2 linked regions of the Neodiprion lecontei genome follow. The protein of the gene in region 1 purifies or fractionates together with the protein of each later gene. This does not show direct contact. Links are inferred from orthologs where the notes say so. Each region holds a gene or a part of one and is shown on either strand. Other genes may lie near its edges.

Region 1 (6,520 bases):
TTATAACTACTGTCAAAAACATACGTATTCGTATTCATAGTATGTGTAAACGCATTTATAGGTATATAGGATTCACCTATATATGTATTATACCTGGTCACACATTCTATGTGCATACTATATTCATTTATTTCTGTACGATTATGTAGGGTAGTATCATAATTACCGTAATAATCTCTAATATGCTTGTATAGGATGAGATATTTTGGCAGTAGAGACGGTACATTTAAATATTCAATTTTTATGTTTTGCACACAGATAATTACAGATAAAATCTTGATCGTAAAAAATGCAATTGATTTGTCGATATGTATTACAAAATTATGCTTTCTTTAAATCAAACAGTTCATTTTTATTATATTTATATGAAGACGATTACGAGGATAATTTAATAGTTCTCAAGTATTTACGCTACGTACGAATGACGTGTGTTCACTGCAAGATATTTGTTACTATTATACATATATGTATTATATATGTAATTATAGAAATATTATAAATTGTGAAATAATTTAGGATATAAATTAAATAATACATATGTATCTTATTTCATACTTTTTATTTACTCTGCTCCTCGATAAGAATTCTTAAATCCAATAAACGTGATAGTAAACAAAATTCTTCGTACCAATCAATCGTGAATCAAATCCCCAAGTTTTACCAAGTAAATTAATTCTAAGTGAGAGTACAGAGAACACTGAATTTGACAATGTTGTAAATATGATTGATGTTTAATTAAATCTTTCAGCGTTAACAATTAGAGCATTTCTTTGTTTTACATGCATATTTCATAAATAACTATGGTTCCAAACGTGTGTGACAATGTACTGTTCTAGTTAGAAAAGACGTTACTTCTAAACATTACGTAAGACTTCACGGAAAGAAGGTGTTCTTCATATAAATGAAATTTGCTGTTTATCGCTTCTTTTTACAGGCAAACAAGTTATTTGTGACAAGTAAATAGGTTGTCTAGAAGAATGTATTGAATTTGTATAATTGGTGCCCCTCACTTCACATAACGACACAATTAATAGAAGTTATTTTATAAGATTTAATTAACGTGCAGTTAAAAAATTAAAATTTTTTTAATTTATGTTTACAGTGGTTTGATAATAGATGACCCTAAAGATTATAATGTCGAATTATTTTAACCTGAACAACCTGTGTCCGACGTGAGTTCAGCCACTGTAATAAACTTAAAGTGATATTGGAACTTATTAAAATTTAGATAAACTGAAATTGTGTTGCATAGTTCATGAAAAGTACATTTACTTCTTCTTCTTCCTAGGTTTATCTTGAGGTGCTGGAAGATTCTCTTGCTTCCGTTTGGACGCTGGTTTTGATCCAATACTTCCACCCTTCTTTCGTCTCTCTTGTCTCTCTCTTTCTTCAAGCTCTAGATTTTCACGTTCAATTAGCGTTATCAAAGTGTTACATCTTCGTTGGAGTTCTAGAGCTGTTCTTGACTTGACAAACCAATCGAAGCGAAATTGTGGTGCAGATCTTACGGTTGCTCTGAGTTCTTCGTATACATTTTCTTTGTCAAATCCAAGTTTATGCAACATGCATACAAGGAATCTGTCCTCTTCTTCGGTATAATTTTTTCCCTTGTTTGTTCCATAGGCTATTCTTAGCTGATGGAATGGTGCTCTATATCTGGCCATTTTTGCATCCAGAGCTTTCTTTATACCGGCACGTCTCTGAATTTTTGCTTCTCCTCGCTCTATCTGAGCCATTACTCTGTCAATGTCTTGAAGTTCGTGGCAACGTTCCCAAAAGACAGCAGAATACTCCATTACTTCTTCAGGAGATTTTCCTTCAACATCTTTGGCAATATTCTCAATGTCATCTCGACCATATTTTTCATTAGCCTTTATGAATTGGTTGAAATCCCTCTTCGTCCAGTTTGTGAATCCCTGAGTAAGCAGTTTTTCTTTCTCTGTCAATTCCTCGTCTGTAAGTGGCTGAGCTTCGTCAATTTTTCGCTGCTCTTCCTTTTGAATCCTTCCTGCGTCAGATCCAAGTTCAGGGTTTTTTGGTACTTTGTACCCAACTGTTTGTCTGAAGTAATATATTTCTTGATCGAGTAGCTCAAACAATCGTGGCGGAAAAAATTGGAAATCTTGAACAATTGGTTGTTTCGGAGGTCTTGGTGCCTTTGGAGCTTTTGGCTCTGAGACTCTTAGCGCTTCTCTGAAGTAAGCATCGACTGCATAATTTGCCTTTCTCTCGCGTTTAGGCGGCTCAATCCAGTTGCCTATACCTAATATTTTCTGCTTCTCCCTATAATCCTCACCTTCAAATTGGTAGACTGAATCGGTCGGTGCATCTACTGTAAAATTTCTCAAGGATGATTCACCCAAATTTTCCAACTTCTGTTTCATTTCCTCTGTTTTAGCTTCTCCTTTCTGAAGTATCGTATCAATATCTTCATCCGTTATGGCACTGTCTTTAGAAGCAAATACTTCATTAGCACCATGTCTAATCATGTTGAGCATCTCATCCTTGTTCAAAGCTGTTTGTTTCGCATCTACTAGTCTGCCCTGCTGAATAACAAGTTTATCCAAGCGCAACTTGACCTCGGCACGTTCGACAATCTTTTCCTCTACTGTATTCTCAGTTATGAACCTGAACACTCGCACTTGTTTCTGTTGGCCGATTCGATGTGCTCGATCCATAGCTTGCAGATCCATTTGAGGATTCCAATCAGAATCATAAATAATAACTACGTCAGCCGTAGCTAAATTAATACCAAGACCTCCTGCTCTTGTGGATAACATGAAAATGAACTTTTCGCTCCCGGGAGCATTATATTCATTTATTTGCCGCTGTCGATCTTCATGAGCCGTGTTACCATCCAATCGGCAATATTGAAAACTTCTCCAATGGCAATAATCTTCAAGAATATCAAGCATCCTAGTCATTTGACTAAATATTAATATCCTCGAGTCTTGCTGCTTCAATTTTGGCAGTAGTTTATCAAGGATCACCATCTTTCCACAATTATAAACTAAATGTTCGTCAGTGGTATACGGAGGGCCCGGCTCAGCTCCGTCAAACAAATATGGATGATTGCAGCACTTTCGTAGCTGCATAAGAATGTTTTGTAATCTCATTTTTTCAATTTTTCCAGCACCGTTTACAATGTCGATATCCTTCATTAGCACTTTGGTATACCATTCCCTCTGCATTTTACTCAGTCCAATGTAAACTTTGATTTCTTTTTTAGGCTTAAGTCCCTTCTCTACTTCAGCCTTGAGGCGTCTAAGAAGGAATGGTCTTAAGACAGCATGCAGCCTTTCAACCAAAGAATTATCTCCAAGAAAACTGTTGGTGTTGAACCAGGAGTCAAAGTCGTCTGAGCTGTTGAACACGTCTGGTAATAAGAAGTTTAAGAGTGACCATAGCTCGTGAAGATTATTTTGTAACGGTGTGCCGGTGAGTAAAAGTCTATTGGCAGTCTTAAACTCGCGCAAAATTTCTGATAACTTTGATTTCTCATTTTTTATCCTATGAGCCTCATCGATTACCATATACCTCCAGTTAAACTTTTTGAATACTGATTTCTCCTTTATTACCATTTCATAAGACGTTACGCAGACATCCCACTCCCCTGGCATCATTACGTCTCTGATGAACGTGTTCCTTGTCTCAGCGTCTCCAATCAGACAAACAGCTCTCAGCGAGGGACACCATTTCTTAAATTCATTCATCCAGTTGGCTAGCGTTGACTTTGGGACAATTACAATGTGAGGTCCTGGAATGCTGCGGAAATGCTTCATGTATCCTAGCAATGAAATCGTCTGAAGGGTTTTTCCAAGACCCATTTCATCTGCCAGTATACCGTTGATTCCATTCTCATAGAGCGAAATCATCCAGTTAAGACCACGAATCTGGTAGTCCCTCAGCTCTCCTGATTTTATATAATGGGGGGATGACTCGAAACGAGTCGTTGGCGCAACACTGACATTGCTCTCAGCAAGGAGCTCTTCATCTTCTTCTTGCTCTGTTTTTCGATGTCTGAGATCAGCCGACGTGTCACCTTTGACAGGAATCTCGGGCTGCTTCCTAGGTCTCCCAGCTTTAACTTTAAGAGGACTGACACTTTTGTCTTTCTGATTATTCGTCATAAAATGAGAAAAAATTTCGGTCTGTTTTAGTAGGTAATCAAACCTCTTGCTCCTGTCGGTCTCCAGTTTGGTTTCGAAATCGCCACCCCTAGAAGATGTTGTTTCTGCTGACGATCCGTTTGAATTCTCCCCCGTTTCGACAGCGTCGGCATTTTCCGTCTCCGGCTTGGACATTTTTCGTCGCTGAGGTCAATTTCTTGCTTGATTTATTCAATAAAATACTTGAAGCGCCTACCCAACGCCAGATTATTCACCGGTATTGTGTGTAGTATGCCGTGTTCACCGACGAATCAACCAAAGGCTCATCGCCATTTTAACGCTTCAACTCCCTCCAAAACTAACTTATGTCCGCAATCACTGTCAGCTTGACCAGCCAGTAATTAAATGATTAGTACTAAACCATCGCACGTAACTCTAATGACTAGTGGTAGTCTTCAAATTGCCACAAACTGTAGCAGGTCGAGCTTTATTTCGACTTTCAAAAGTATATACACAACGTGAGTGAAATGGTAGACCTTTGCAGCGTTGCATGTACGGCGTGAAGCAGAATAATGAAGCTTTCAGCCGTGTCCACACCGGATTTTAGGCCGATCTAACGGAAACACAGATCTCTTCACTGGATAGTGGACTGGCGCGACTCGCACCGCCGAGTGGCTTTAGTAGTATTAGTTCGAGATTAGCGAACGAAAAAGACCAATGACGTCACTTTACGCGTCCGTCGAAACCGGTAGGTTCCTATAACCTCCCAAAGTCCAAGAACGTAACCTTAAATAACCTTAAGATACAATTTCAAATTCAATGTAACCTCAAACTTCATGAAAATAAATTATCAATTTTTTCGTAAGAGTGTTTTTTGTACCTGCAAACGATGACGACTACCTTCATATTTAGCCGTATAATTTCGGCAAACATGAGACAAACTATTAGGTGAGTTACTCGAATTCAAATGTGTGAATGATTTTTATTATATTTTGTATTTGCACGTCTTTTGTAAATTATTCTTACCAATACCGATCAATTGTTATAGGAAAATTCATAGTTCATCAATCATTTGCAAAAGTGCTTACGAAGGTGATGGAAAAACGACGATATCTATTCTTAACAGGGACGAAGTCTATGGACTCATGATAAATTCCTACAGCAAGGTATAGCTATTATATTTCTTTGTTTTTTGGATAAAATTAACGTTTGTACCAATACAGAGCTTAACAAAATTCTTGTTGTAGATTGGATTTCGTTTAAACAATGGCATTAGTATCATTGGATCACTTGCAATATTTCCAAGAAGCGTACTGAGTTGGAAGGTTAATACTATAGATGATGTCAACGAGGAAACTCTGTCGCTATTTACTATTCTTGATCCAAAACCAGACATTTTAGTAATTGGAACTGGTGACCCTCATAGTAACATTAAAGTTGACAAGAAGCTGGCTCTGTTTGCCAAAAAATTCAAAATGAACATGGAGATCGTTCCAACATGCCAAGCTTGTCCTATATTCAATTTCCTTAATGCTGAAGGAAGATTTGTTGCAGCTGCGCTCATCCCACCTGCAAATCTTGATTTTAATGCTAATGATTCCATACAAGATCCAATGGGTCCAAAAGCTTTAGAAAATTCGACCAACTTATAGGTACGCCAACAAACATTTTTTCAGTGAAGGTACATGTAATATTAGTTAACTTGGCTCTGAAAAGCGAAAGAAGCAATTAAAATTACTTTTGGCATTTTGATTCAATGCTCATAATTATTTAAAGTATTTACAGCTATCCACAGTGTCTGTTAGTGTATTAACTTTACATAAGTCATATCACATCTGTAACTGGCTTACCTCATTTTATTGCAGTAAATGAATCCAAAGGACTGTTATTGATAGTGTAGCTATTTATGAATTTGAAAAATATATGCGTATCTATGCGATATACACATAATTTATATCCATGTACATAGTAATATTATGTATGTGTAAAGCAAAATATTATCGTAGAAACTTGTATAGTTAATTAATTGTTGATAGAATATTTAGCAAATAAAATATTCAACATTATTTATGTACAAAGTGTGAAGTAATTCACTCATTTATGAATCATCATCCATTACGTTTATATAATCCCTGCCTGACACATATTTAAAAACAGCTTAAGCAAGGGGTGCGTTCCAAACCCAACTGTAGTCAACTCTGGCCAACTCTACGCGTTCCAAACCTGTAAGTCTAAATATAGGTCGTAAACTCTGATAGTTCCGAAACTTGCGAGGTGGCAACTCCGGGTGACTCCGAGCTAATTGAAATGAACCCTGCCTAGAGCAGGGTTAGATGGAGATGGGTTCAGTGTTTTTGCGCCAAGATTGAAATTCGATAGTAGTCGAGTATGGGAACGCCCTAGTGTTGCAC
Region 2 (4,625 bases), about 22 Mb from region 1:
TACTTGTTGGTGCCAGGTGAACAGTCGGCCTGACAACAGCGCTACATCCTCATTTCTTTCAGGATTTCAGATCTAAGCAATCTCTTGTTGCGTGGACATAGGTCGTTGATCATAAGGCGCTTATGCTCGAGTTCGCTGTATCAGTTCGCTTATGCGTGCAAGCTTTACGCGCACTATTCTGGTGGTGTTGATTTCACCATAGCGTCAGCGTTCTCGAGGCAACGGCGCGTTGTATTAGGTGCGTAGTTTTGCTTCCAGAATATTCTAATGTATGACAAGAATACATAAATACACTGGAATATTTCATTTGCTTTAACGACTAACTGGAGACACAATAGGGTTTATTGATTGTGTATTTGAATATTATTTTGAGAGCGTTATATTTTATTTGCTTAATTATCTGACAGGTATAATAGTGAGTACGTAGCAGATATGATTACAGATTTAATATTAACTTTAAATACCTACTGCTGTGATTATTCTCAGGTATTCGTATTGTATTTAACGGAGTAAAGTATTTGAGGAATTGGTTAGATAAGAATCTTAGGATAAGTTTTTATGTATGTTCTGTATAGTTTTCTCTGATGGCTAATATGCTTACTCGAGTTAGATTGGTTTGTAAGGTATCTGAGGATTGCTCTTGTGCTTTTTGGTTGCCTGTTAATCGGCGTTGCAACTATTCAGGTCACCTCTTTGGAAATTGTACTGAGCTTTGTAAAGAGTTGACGATTTGTACATTTTTACGTTTAATTCCCAGAGCGGTATGAATTTTAATCATCTGAAGGGTTTGATGCTATTATAATAATGGATTCATCATTATATTTTTCGTTGTTTTGAATTGATATTCCATTGGTTAACCATACAAAATCATCCGGCAAGTTGGCTTACCTTCAGTGGTTTACTCATAGTGTTACTGATGTAATCTCCAGGTAGCGTTCGATACGGTTCCACATTAGATATCTACATTGCCTCCATAACGTTCGTAAGCGTTGTCTACAATACGTTGTTTTCGAAAGGATTCTACAATACATGTTTCATAATTTGTATGCATGGTTATAGAGGTTCCACAATCGCTAGTTTTATAGATTATTACGGCAATGTAACCTAGCGTTAGTTGCTCTATATTATATCGGTTATATGTATATCTATTGTATCACAGTTTTATTCTATCTCCAAGGCTATATGGTGTAACATAGTTTGTCTGTAATACGGTTCTAATCTCCGTGGTACTTGTACAATGATATTATAGCTGTCTGTAATGCGAGGATCTAGTAATAGGCTTTTGGCCTTTAATTGATGAGTTTTAAAGTCACACTTCATTTAGTCATGTTTCAAATGGTTGGTTATTTGATATCCTTTGGCTACAAGATTCTCACACTTAAGTAGAAGTGTTATGGAATAGTCATAAACAATGAAACAAACGGTCGTTGCATTCGGATATCAGAGATGAGTAGGTCGCTCATTTGGTCATTTGCGTCGCTTCCATTCAAGAAGTCCGCCTGGTATAATGAATTGGACTCACAGCAAAAGTGCGTACCGAATGCGGACTTTGGACTGCACTTTTTCTGCGAGTCGAATTCGCCAATACACTACGACGCAATATCAAAATGACTCGGTTAGTATAACCGGGACTGTTATCTTTATCGGCGGATTGGAGGGCCCGTGTTGGTCTCCAAAGTATTTTGTTTCCTTGTAACTCTCCAGGTGTCACTATGACCGCCGTAGAGCTGCACGTGTTGCGGTCGGCCGCTTTGAGAAAATTTCTAATTCCCATGAGTTTGGCCAGTGTCGGTCGTTGTATGAAGCCGCATAGTTCGGCAGCGAAGCGTGCCTTTCAAACCAACATGTCTTATACCACGGTTGAGAAGGGAACACCAAACACGACGAATTACAGGATATATTTCAGTGAGTAGTCAACTCTCCGAGCCATTTACACTTTATCTCATGCCGCGTTCTTCCCGTCTCCGTATTAGCTCTGACCTATCGACTGCTGTGCGATGGTCCCTGAACCCCAGAGGGTCGATTCCTAGATAACTCTTGTAAAATGATTAGAGTAAATTGACCGTTGAGCACGTTCGTGACGGCAATAACGTTCATTCATTATGTAGTATCAAATATCCCTCATTCTCTGTGATACTTTTCGCGCCGTTCGAAAAAATATGTTATCCCACGCACGCTTTGCGGTATACGCGGTATACGTATTTTTTTTTTTTTATATGTATAGACGTGCTATGTGATGTAGCGTTAGGTCACGTGACATGACCACATATTTTAAACCGGAAAGATGTTCAAGATTTCTGAATAACAATATTCAAGTATTCTACCGTTGCTGCAGCCGTACGATTGAATGGAATTTGACATTTAGACTTTTTCATATGGCGGAATGAGTTATTTCGATTATTCACAGATATCTGCGAGATTGACGGAATAGATACCTAATTATGTAAAAGGAAAGTAGTGCCGACTAAATGTCAACGGACACATGCTTGATTTCATCAATTTCACCATATAATTCCATATGTTTAGTATCGCTGAAGTAACTGATCAGGAATTTCACTATCAGTTTCAACCGTGGTTTTTCTGCAAGTTTCTTCATCGCATAGTTAGACAAATGATTCACTCAAACTACATTAATCGAAAGAAATACGTCATAATGACTTAGTGACTTGGAGTCTGATTTCACGCATGATTTAATCTAAATATTCTCAAGGTTTCTAGGCATTATCATAACTCTAATGTGTGCAAATTTTGTTGATCTTATCTCCTGAATATATTAATAGATTTGTTAGTTATTGGGTCAGAAAAAGATCCTGAAAAGGGCTTGTTTCCGGAAGCTGAAGAGTTAAAAATTGTTTTGGAATTTCACCTTATGTAAGAGTTAATAAATCTGCCAATTGAATCTGAGGATTAAGAATCATATTTTTTTTCAAGTTGCTGTGCGGCAATTTTAGAATTGGTTTATAGAACTGTTCCAAACTGGCTTTGTGGTCAGTTGACAGTTTACTACATTTTAAAGTTGTTCACTAGGAATTTTTTTAAATGCTTCGTTACGTCAACGTCGTAGACTTCAACCTCTCTTTAATACTGGGTTATCAAATGTTGATCACACTTCAGCCAGTTTCTTACCAAAGAAGCATCTGATATTGTTCAATTGTCACGCCACAGAAATTTTGATACCTTATGATTTCAAAAATCCACAGCTTTGTTTAAAAAAAGCTTTTTGCTGACAAATATAGATGTTCGATTCCTCGAGATATTTCCTTATTTATCTGTTACAAACTGTTAGCTTTCTTGAAGACAATTCGTTTAAAGGGGGGTTCACAAATATTTAAAAGGATGCTGTGTCCTTGATATACAAAGTGCTTTAGATCATTTATAGAATATACCTAATGTAATTAAAAATTTGTGAACAATCCAATAATGATACACATTGTTTAGCAGTACGAAAGGTTAATGGTGTTTTATCGGATTGTCAGAATTTCTTCTTTTAAACTTTATTTAGTGAAAATTCTTCAAAAAATCATTTCTTAATCAATAATACCGGCACATAGATGATGTCATATGCCATTGAGAAAGCTGCAATGCCTTTACTGTTTTTCGATAGTTGCATGATACTTTGATGTATATTGCGAAGTAATCTGAGGTGAAATCAGAAGCAGGAAGGCAATGCTTCCCACCAAAATTATTGGATGCTATGACCAATTTGATTCATATGATTACCTTATGAGAATAGTTTGAACATTATTAAGATTTAAGGGGGTCCTCTGGTTTGACGCCCTGATTTTTGAGCATTTTTTAGGATTTTTTTGTAAAGACCAATGAAGGGATAGAACTTTGAACTTTTTACCATTTATTTATACATATTTCAAGAATGTACAGTTAAATTTTTAGCTAAAAATATTCAGTAGAATTAAAGTTATAGTGGTCTGAAGACAACCGCCTCGAAAAAATGGACACCCACTTCTTCCGTCGTCGAATAGCTAGTCCATACAACTTAGTCATTTCTTTGATGACTTTATCAGTCAGTTTCCCTGCTCCTTTTCCGCCTATCCCTTTATTATCTTTACCCTTTTTGAGACCACGGAGTCTTGTTCCCATTCTTTTCTCGACGTGACCAACGCATTCTTTTTTCGTTACAGCAGTTTTTCCGTACGTTTTAGAATCTAAGATCCTTCTAAAAGTTTTACAATCCCCATCACTAATACATGTGAGGTATTTAATTTCATTTTTAACCAAAGATCTTGCAAACATCTGTACAATAGCACTAATTTCCATCTTTTCTCAACTTCCAGTATGATTAATGGTACATTCATGTACATGAAATTCATACCACATTTCATATTTCACTGGTTCTGTATTTTTTTTATGTTTCCACATATTACACGCTGTGCAATAACTACTCATGACCATAGCATCTAGAACTTTGCCAGTATACTTCCCAATTAATGTAGAAACTCCAAATAAAGATGAAAAGCCTAGTTTTCTCCAGGTACCGTCTCCCGATACCGTCAACTCATCACGTATGTTTCCTGCTTCTTCATTCATCGTTTTTTCTTGCGAGACAGCAAATGACAACACAGATTCACAAACTGTAGATGAAGCTATGTGTATATTTTCTAGAAGTG

What was found. Proteins that work in one complex are often made in the same cells at the same time.
Region 2: the proteins of chromatin-remodeling complex ATPase chain Iswi (region 1) and inorganic pyrophosphatase fractionate together in Drosophila melanogaster (co-fractionation; 4 studies listed by BioGRID, with this or other methods). This does not show direct contact. The link is inferred for Neodiprion lecontei from reciprocal best matches to the Drosophila melanogaster genes Iswi and Nurf-38.

What each region holds. Positions count from the first base shown.
Region 1 is NC_060263.1:31,594,999-31,601,518, reverse strand, and holds chromatin-remodeling complex ATPase chain Iswi, read right to left. Parts: upstream 4,663-6,520; 5' UTR 4,305-4,662; coding exon 1,269-4,304; 3' UTR 541-1,268; downstream 1-540. Other genes in the region: NADH dehydrogenase [ubiquinone] 1 alpha subcomplex assembly factor 3, read left to right, coding at 4,827-4,857, 4,976-5,057, 5,158-5,275, 5,357-5,761.
Region 2 is NC_060263.1:9,925,958-9,930,582, reverse strand, and holds the start of inorganic pyrophosphatase, read left to right. Parts: upstream 1-1,620; 5' UTR 1,621-1,712; coding exon 1,713-1,905; intron 1,906-4,625. UniProt on the Drosophila melanogaster protein: Component of NURF (nucleosome remodeling factor), a complex which catalyzes ATP-dependent nucleosome sliding and facilitates transcription of chromatin.